Nothobranchius furzeri: one gene and its partner. The protein of the gene in region 2 purifies or fractionates together with the protein of the main gene of each other region. This does not show direct contact. Links are inferred from orthologs where the notes say so. Each region holds a gene or a part of one and is shown on either strand. Other genes may lie near its edges. The genes, in order: dnajc19 and pam16.

What was found.
Region 1: the proteins of pam16 (region 2) and dnajc19 purify together in Homo sapiens (affinity purification with mass spectrometry; 3 studies listed by BioGRID and IntAct, with this or other methods). This does not show direct contact. The link is inferred for Nothobranchius furzeri from reciprocal best matches to the Homo sapiens genes PAM16 and DNAJC19.

The regions. Positions count from the first base shown.
Region 1 is NC_091748.1:72,976,278-72,980,619, reverse strand, and holds the start of dnajc19 (mitochondrial import inner membrane translocase subunit TIM14), read right to left. Parts: upstream 2,826-4,342; 5' UTR 2,704-2,825; coding exon 2,701-2,703; intron 2,358-2,700; coding exon 2,306-2,357; intron 1-2,305. UniProt on the Homo sapiens protein: Mitochondrial co-chaperone which forms a complex with prohibitins to regulate cardiolipin remodeling.
Region 2 is NC_091752.1:57,765,434-57,770,028, forward strand, and holds the start of pam16 (mitochondrial import inner membrane translocase subunit tim16), read right to left. Parts: upstream 2,946-4,595; 5' UTR 2,824-2,945; coding exon 2,821-2,823; intron 2,551-2,820; coding exon 2,466-2,550; intron 2,397-2,465; coding exon 2,260-2,396; intron 1-2,259. UniProt on the Homo sapiens protein: Regulates ATP-dependent protein translocation into the mitochondrial matrix. Inhibits DNAJC19 stimulation of HSPA9/Mortalin ATPase activity.

The DNA of each region.
Region 1 (4,342 bases), on a different chromosome or scaffold from region 2:
AGCAGCAGGTTCACTGACTGAACCACTAAGTCACTATAAAAGTAAATTTATAATCCCAATTTTAACTGAGAAATCTGAAAAACTCACAGCTTAATTTTTGTTTTGTTTTATTCAGTTACACACCAGGATTCTTTACTGGTCAGACATGAGATCGTTTCACGTATATCACTTTCTCACGTCTTGAAGACAAAGAACTAGTGTCCTTTTTTTAACACCTTGTCCCCTTTAAATCAGTCAGGGAATCCGCGGGTCCTTGAAAAGTCTTAAATTTACTTTTCCAAATTTAAGGCCTTGAAAATCCTTAAAAATGACAAATAATCCTTAAATACAGTTTCCAAAGGTCTTAAATTACCAAAGACCCAATAAATTAAATTATTTAATTTCTATGAGATTTTTGTGAATTTCTAGTTAGTGATGAGCATTTTTTGTGTATGATGGTTGGCGTAAGCGGAACCGTACACATTCAGTTGGTTGTGAAAGGGGGCTATTTTTAGATGAGCACATTAGCTGGTTAAGCTAGTGGGAGCTTGCGCCATGGGGAAGTGGAAGTTTAACGGTAACTGGATGGCTAATCCCACGTTTGCGACGTGGTTAGCACCGGTTCCAGGCAATAGCTGGAAATTATAGCAGAAATAAAATTTAAAAAATGGCTTAAATTTGGTCAAAGTGGCCTTTAAAAAGGTCTTATTTGGCTCCCTTAAACCTGCAGATACCCTGATCAGTGGTGTCTGAACTTTTGAAGATGTGGAACAAAACTGAAGTTAAACGTTCTCGGGAACCTCAAATATGTCGTTTTGTCTTCTTCTAGAAAAGCTCAAATCATTTTAAGGTGATTTTTTTTTCATTTACATTCCTCAAAACTGTTCCAGAAATAGGCTCATCAAGGACACTTTGAACATAAAAATGTTAGAAAGTGTCGATCTACATCAACAGCTTACAGAAGAGACTTCTAGAGATGCAAATGGGGGCCGCACAAAACCACACCAAGTGTCACAAATGGCCCCGGGCCACACTTTGGAGATGCCTGCTTTATATAGTCCATAAGAACAGTCGTCCATCTTCTTCCGCTTATCCGGAGTCTGACTGCAGGGGCAGCAGCCTAAGTCGAGAGGCCGAGACTTTACTCTCTCTAGCCACTTGGGCCAGCTCCTCCGGGGGAATCCCAAGGGGTTCCCTGGCCAGCTGAGAAACATAGGGTGTTTCTCAATGCCAAGGAACATTGCCTTGATGTCTTGGCCCCGCCCCGGTTGCCTAGGAGATACGTCATCGGGAGCTGCCAAGACGTGTTCCAATGTTCATGGTCTACCGAGGCGTGTGTTCTCCGTTTGTTAGCCGTTTAGCTAGCTGAGCGAGGATACACGAGAGGTGTTTTGTAGCCTAGCCTTGGTCAAAAACTACCCAGAATACACAGCAGTATTTTCAAAAGGATGACAGTTTAGAAGCCGGCAGCTACTTCTGGTACAATTTTCAAGTTTAAAAGTAAGTCGGCTAATTTTAAATGTTTATTTTTTTTTTAGATCCAAAGAAGTTATCTATTGTTGGTTAGTTGCTTATTAGTTGCAGCTTCAGTGGCTAGCGTGTAGTAACTCACTTATATTTTTAATTTATTATTATTATTATTATTATTACTATCTTTATTTCATTCAAAAAAAAAACACAACAGATACTAAACAATATTCATGAAAACACAATATATATTTGAATATAATTTAATAAACATATACACAATTTAAAAAGTAAAAGGCTTGTTATGTATTTATATTTAAACTAATACATATAAAATATAACGTTATCTCCCGTGTCACGTGACGTTACGCGACCGCCGTGGAAGCCGCAGTCACGTGACGCAAGTCTGTTCCATTTAACTGTTTTCTTTGACCAAGGAAGGGCCGTGTCCTCGTAAGCAAGGCGCCTGGCCTCGCAAGACATCGCCTCGCAAGGCCAGGCGCCTTGACATTGAGAAACACCCATAGTCCCTCCAGCATGTCCTTGGTCTTCCTTTAGGTGTCCACCCAGTTGGACATGCCTGGAAAACCTCACCAGGGAGGCATCCAGGAGGCATCCTAACTAGATGCCTGAGCCATCTCAACTGGCTCCTCTAGATGTGGAGGAGCAGCGACTCTACTCCGAGCCCCTCTTGGATGACCAAGCTTCTCACCCTAATAATCTTCAACTTTTGAAAGTTGTTTATATTATTTAATAGAAGAAAAATAAGTTGTATAATTAAATCAGTTCACATCAAACGTAAACAAACTGCTCTGGTTAATGGATATTAAAATACTAATAAACTTGTCTTTGATTTCACCTGCAAATCCAGCTGCTGCCACAGCCAGTCCCACTGCCACCATGGAGCTGGCCTGTCGAGGTAAATAATAATAATGAAACGTGATGTAGTCAGTCAGCCTCACAAGCTTCTCTGCTGCAGCAAATGTAAACAAAACTGCTCTGCAAATGTGTAAGTGCTACTTTCACATTAAATTAAAAAAAAAAATCACCCATTAAACACAGAAACAGTGATTTGGCTGTTGCGTTAGGTAAAACCTAAACAAGGGATTTGTAGAGTCCTGTTGGGTCACACATCCTAGGAATGCTAATGTTAGCTTAGCTATGAAAATAGGGTTATCGCAGTTTATGACCCACTCCCAAGCACGCTGGCGTTTCATACACCCGTCTCGATAGTAAATAATGTGTCCGACCTACCATTTCTCTGTGTTATGTTCCGTTTCTGTTACAGAACAGGAGCATAACTTTTGACCCCTGTGTTTAGCTAGCTCAGACGTCCCATGTGTTTATACCGGAAATGGATGTGAAGTGTTGTAAAAATGCCGTAAAGCGGCTCGCCTGCTGTTCTCCAGATTTTAGCTAGTGGTGCCTATGAGAAATAATTTGGAATCAAATCCGGCTTCTTGGAGGTAAAATCTGTTTAAAAATACACTTTTACTACAGTTTTTTTTACCACTTTTAATCTGTACAACACTTGAAACATTTGTTTGTTTACAAAATGAAAACAAATCAGTGACTTTTTATTTTGATTTTTACTCATGTTGAGAATTAACTTTTTGTCAGATTATTTTAAAGGAGCATTATGTAGAAATGAAGTAAAAATGATATCATGTTGTAAAATGTGGTTACTACAACCACCCTGGAGCTTGTTGCAGGCAAATTACAAATGTCAGCGGCGCTGCAGTATTAGCTCGCAGGAGACACGGCACCTCCACACTCACTGATGGTAAACAGTAGTTGCCTCCGTCCTCCCTTTGCTTTGAAAGGAGAAAAACTGGCAATCCCCGCAGCCGGCTGGATATGAAATATATTTCAGTATAACCTTCCTTCCAAAATGACTGAAACTAGTTAGGAATTTTCTCACTGTAAAATTCTCACTATATTTGTACACACTGCATCTTTAACTTCGTTATCCTTTTCTAGCTCCTTGCCATATTAGCCACTGTTTGTATATTATTGCAATTTTAATAAGATTTGGGACCAGCTTTACTTTTTCCACCGTTACAGCTAAAACGTTACAAAAATATTTTTTTTGAGTTCAGGTTAATGATATTGTTTAGAATTAAACAGTTTTGACAAATCACATATGCCTATTTATGGTTTTATGATAAAGTTGACACAAATGATGAAAATCATTCTCAGAGGGCATGAATCAGTAACTTTTAATTCTGATCAAACTAAAAAAAACACGAGGTAAAAATAACATAATTGACTCATAAATTATTTGACTTTCTAATGTTCTTGTCTCTCTGTCCCATCAGAACTCATTTCTCTTATATCTCCAAATCTTTTCATAATCCCTTTTGTACAACTCTAATTTCATTAGCAGTTAAAGTTGTGAAACACTGAAAAACATGTTTTTAATGATTATTTCTGATTATAACGGGTCACCCTGAGTTTTTCATGCAGGCTGAGCATGAAAATAGTGTCCTACACCTATCTCCACCTTTAGCTTCTGATAGAAAAAAGACGGTGAAACTCTAGGATTAGAAAAGCCGGACAGATCCACGTCACACTGTCACTTATCACTCATGGACTCACCCATCTTGAGTCGCAATAGGGAAGGCTTTTGTTGGTTTAGCGTCCACCAGAGAACGTCTAGTAGAAGCTAACTGTTAGCATTAGCAACTCCACCACACAGCAGAACTCCTCCAGACTTGTGTTATTTGTGAAGATGTAACATCAGCATTGCAGAGCAAACCGAGTCAGTGGTAGGGCTGTGTTGCTGGTATCCAATCAGAGGAGAGATGTCCAAATATCTGGAAACAAGACTCCCAATCCTGCCGTGTTCTGCCACTCTGTCCTCCAGCTGACGCCTACGTCCTCAAACAGGCACACC
Region 2 (4,595 bases):
GACTTAGACAAGAACAAAAAATCAACACGAATAGAAAAGAAACAGAAAGAGCATAACAAGGAGTACTGCTCCTGTTCATCCTTGCACAAAGGTGGAGGTAGCAGTCCTGCTGCTGGGTTGTTGCCCTCCTACGGCCTCCTCCACACCTCCTGATGCGCTGGCCTGTCTACTGGCCACAGCTCACACTGATGAGCCATCCTGGATGAGCTGCACTACCTGAGCCACATGTGTGAGCTGCAGACTCCTCATGCCACCACTACAGTGAAAGCACCACCAGCATTCAAAAGGGACCAAAATATCAGTCAGAAAGCAGAGGAACTGAAAAGTGAAGAAGAAGAAAATATCTTTTCTATAGCGCCTCTCAAGATAAAAATCACGAGGCACTTCACAAAAACAAAAAATGTAAAAATATAAAAAAGAATTTAGAAAATGGTTAAAAATATATTTAAAATGAGCAAAAAATAGACAATTGTGATTAAAAAATGTTAAGAGAGAGAGAGAGAGTGAATAGGAAAGAGGGAAATCAGTGGATCCTGAGGAAGGTGGAATAGGTGGGGAGAAAAGAATAAAGAGAGAGTGGTGAAGAAGGTCACACAAAAGCCAGCTTGAACAAGTGAGTCTTCAGCTGCTTTTTAAAGGAGACCACTGAGTCCACTGATCTCAGGCTCAGGGGGAGAGAGTTCCAGAGTCTGGGGGCCACAGCAGCAAATGATCTGTCACCTTTGGTCTTTAGCCTGGTGCTGCACAACCAGTAGGCTTTGATCACTGGACCTCAGGGACCTGCTGGGGGTGTAGTGACTAAGAAGATCACCAATATAAGATGGTGCTTGTCCATGTAAGGCCCTATAGACCAGAACCAGGATCTTGAAATGAACCCTGAAGTTGACTGGCAGCCAGTGAAGCTGGAGGAGAAGCGGGGTGATGTGGGTGTGTTTGGAGGACTTGGTCAGAAGCCGAGCACAGGCATTCTGAACCACCTGTAGACGGTTCAGGGAGGTTCTGCTCAGACACGTGAAAAGAGAGTTACAGTAGTCTAAGCATGAGGAGATGAAGGTGTGGATAACTGTCTCAAGTTCAGAACGGGACAGAATGGGACTCAGCTTAGCAATGTTCCTGAGATGGAAGAAGGAAGAGCGAACAAGATAACTGACATGAGAGTCCAGGGGGAGAGCTGGGTCAAAGGTCACACCAAGATTCCTGACGGAAGGTTTGGTGTGAGAAGCAAGCAGACCAAGAGAGTCTCTGACTTTGGGAACCAGCTTGTCTGGAGCACAGATGTGGATCTCAGTCTTATCTTCATTCAGCTGTAGAAAGCTCCCAGCCATCCAGGTTTTGATAAGAGTCTAAGCAGGTGTGTAACAGCTGCAGCTTAGACATCTCATGGGGCTTAAAGGAGATGTACAGTTGGATGTCATCTGCATAAAGATGGTAGGAGATTCCTTTGAAGAAGCTCAGGATGTGCTGAAGAGGGAGCAGATAGAGGAGGAAGAGTAGAGGCCCCAGCACAGAACCTTGTGGGACACCATGGGTAAGAGAGGTGGTGGAGGACCTAAACTTGGAGATGGCCACAGAAAAGGAGCGCTCAGAAAGATAAGAGGAGAACCACTCCAGAGCAGATCCTGATAGGCCTATCCAGTCTCTCAGCCTCTCCAGAAGCAGGTGATGGTCAACTGTTTCAAAGGCTGCAGTCAGGTCCAGCAGGACCAGAACAGAACAGTCCCCTGCATCACTGTGAGCCAGAAGGTCATTAGAGACCCTAAGAAGAGCTGTTTCAGTAGAATGAGCTCTACGAAAACCTGTGCTCTGTGATCACCGCCTGCAGGACCACTTCTTCATTGGAGATGTCTTACAGGTGAAGTGCTAATAATTTCCACCTGTTGTCTTTTCCATTTGCACAACAGCAGTGTTGCTTCCTAAGTGGACAGTTTGATAGGGTTAGGATGCCATCAGCATTTGGATCATTATAGTCATGAACGGCAATATTGTGGTTTCTTCTGCTGAGAAACGTCTTTAGATGCTCATCAGAAAAGGTCAAACAGAAGGAGAGGACACAAACTTTAATTTAGTTCATTAAAGAACGTATATGAATGTTGAATCCTTTTCTCAAATGCAACCTATGATGAGTGGATAAAAACAAGACTAAAATAAATAAATTTCTCACTAAATATTACAGAGCACGCTCAGAGAGCTTCTAAAAAATGCCACCAGTGTGTGTGTGTGTGTGTGTGTGTGAGAGAGAGAGAGAGAGAATGTGTGTACCTTCTGGATCTCCTCAGGACTGAGAGTGGAGATGTTGAGGATCTGCTGAGCCTCCTGTAGACTCATCCCAGAGATGCTGGAGGCTGCAGCTGACTGCTGACCTGTCCGACCTCTGGCCCGAGCTGCTGCTTGACTGGCTGATGGAGGAGATACAAAGTTCTACATGATTACACACACAAATGCGCGCGAGCAATGACGGGTCGTACCTGCATATTCCTGTTGTAAAGCACGGGCAAAGGCTCTGCCCACCACCTGGACTCCCATCACTATGATCTGAGCCAGATACTTGGCCTGAATGAGATAAAGACAAAAGGAGGCGCGTGGCTGGTAGTTTATAGACTGGATGTCATTAATGGTTACGTCGCACTCAGGCTGAATACCCCAACACGACTAGCGCGTTAGAGACACTCAGCTAATATTCTGACATTTAAAAACCAAATCTGATCAGATAATGAAGCTAGCGCTGCAGCAAACCACGAATTAATCTCAAAACAACAGCTTCTGTTCACGTTTCAGTTTCAACAACAGACTATAAACGAGAACACATAAACGTGACCTTACCATTTTTAAATATAATACTTAGCCTCCGCGGAAGACGACAGTCTTGTATTCACACATGGGTACTGAAGGTTACCGAAGGAGGTCAAAGTTCAAGCAACATTACGAATTCAAGACTGGCCGTCTTGGTGTGACTATTAAGACAGCGACACCTGCTGGCGAGGAAGTCTAACTGCAGCCTGATGCTTCTAAGGTCACCTGTGCTCTGCTTGTAAAACAGTTGTTACGAAAATTAGAAAAGATGAAAGTATGTAAAACAAAAGACTCAAAAATACTTCATAGAGATAAACAATTCTAAAATTATACATAATAAAAAAAAATAAACAATTAAAAACTGATCCATCTTTCTCATCTGAACCGCTTCATCCTCATTAGGGGTTGCGGGGAGTTGGTGTCACTGGGCGAGAGGGATTTGAACCTGTGAACTTCAGCGCTACCAACCGCGCCACCGTGCAGCACAACAAAGGTGCAGTAAGCTGGAATCTGAGGTTTGATCCAGTTATATAAAGCATCTGCACATTTAACAAAACATCATGCTGTCTTACAAAACTTTGATCAAACCTGATGGCTGACTTCCTATAAGTTTTCTCAAACTGATACCATGTAGATCTGTTTCTTAAAAAGATTCTGATTAATTTGTCCAATAAATGAATAGCTGACCACCATACATGAATCCAAATCCTAAAGAACAAAACAAACTTAATGGTGACACTTTCAGATACGTAAGAATCTAAAACGTATAAAAAAAAGGTAATTAATTATTGAAATGCTTACTCCACACCATGTTAAGGAAATATTCATTACCATCTGCTGCTTTGTACAGTCTATGTTTGCACTCGAAAAGAGATAAAGGAAAAGGGGTGAACGTGCCTTTCTGTATGCAACTCCAGTACATGGAGTGTCCTGCCGCTAGAGGTACAACAGGCGTCTCCTGTGGCAGCAAAGCTAAAAGCCGACTTCTGTGCCCTGGCTTTCTTATGACGGTTTTAGTGTTTGGTTGTTTTTAACCTGTGAACTTCTTACATTTCATTATGACTGGTTTTGCCCCCCCCACACACACACACAGTGTTTTTAGTTTTTTATTGGTCTCTAATTTTTTTTTCATGACCCTTGTTGTACTGCGCGTTGGGCAGCTGACACGCTGTGGGAAAATACGCCTTATTAAAGTGGTATGGTATTATTCTTATACATTTGTTTCTAATATTGCTTTATTTAATAATGTATAAGGTAGTGTGTGTGTGTAGCTGTCATGTTAATTACACTGAAGCAATAGGAGCAGAGTTCATATTGTGTTTATTGCTAGAAGATTTAGAAAAAGTCCACAAATCATTACACTAGAAAGACAGGAAACATAAAACAAATCACTTTATAAAAACACACAATTGAAGGCAAGTAACTCCAATCCAAATACAACAATTTCTGAGCATCACAAGTACGTACAGTCAACACCAAATAAACTCACGTGGCACCTGTCACACGGCTGGCCCAACCGGATTGATCCAGTTCTTAAGAGAATGTAAACAAAAGCCGGGTCATCCGTGGGTCTCTGGTCTTATTGCTGCAGCCCTGAGTGACGACTACATGATGGAAGTTAAGAACACTGTACTGTTTGTTTCTCACCACATTCCAGCAGTCAGAGAAAACCAAATGGTTTAGTGAAATCCCACAATAAAAGTTAAAAGCAGCCAGTAAACAAAAACAAAACTCATTCTTGAAGTATAAAAGATCTCCTTAGAAACTCACAATGGATTATTTTACCTCTTCCTGACGTCTATTCC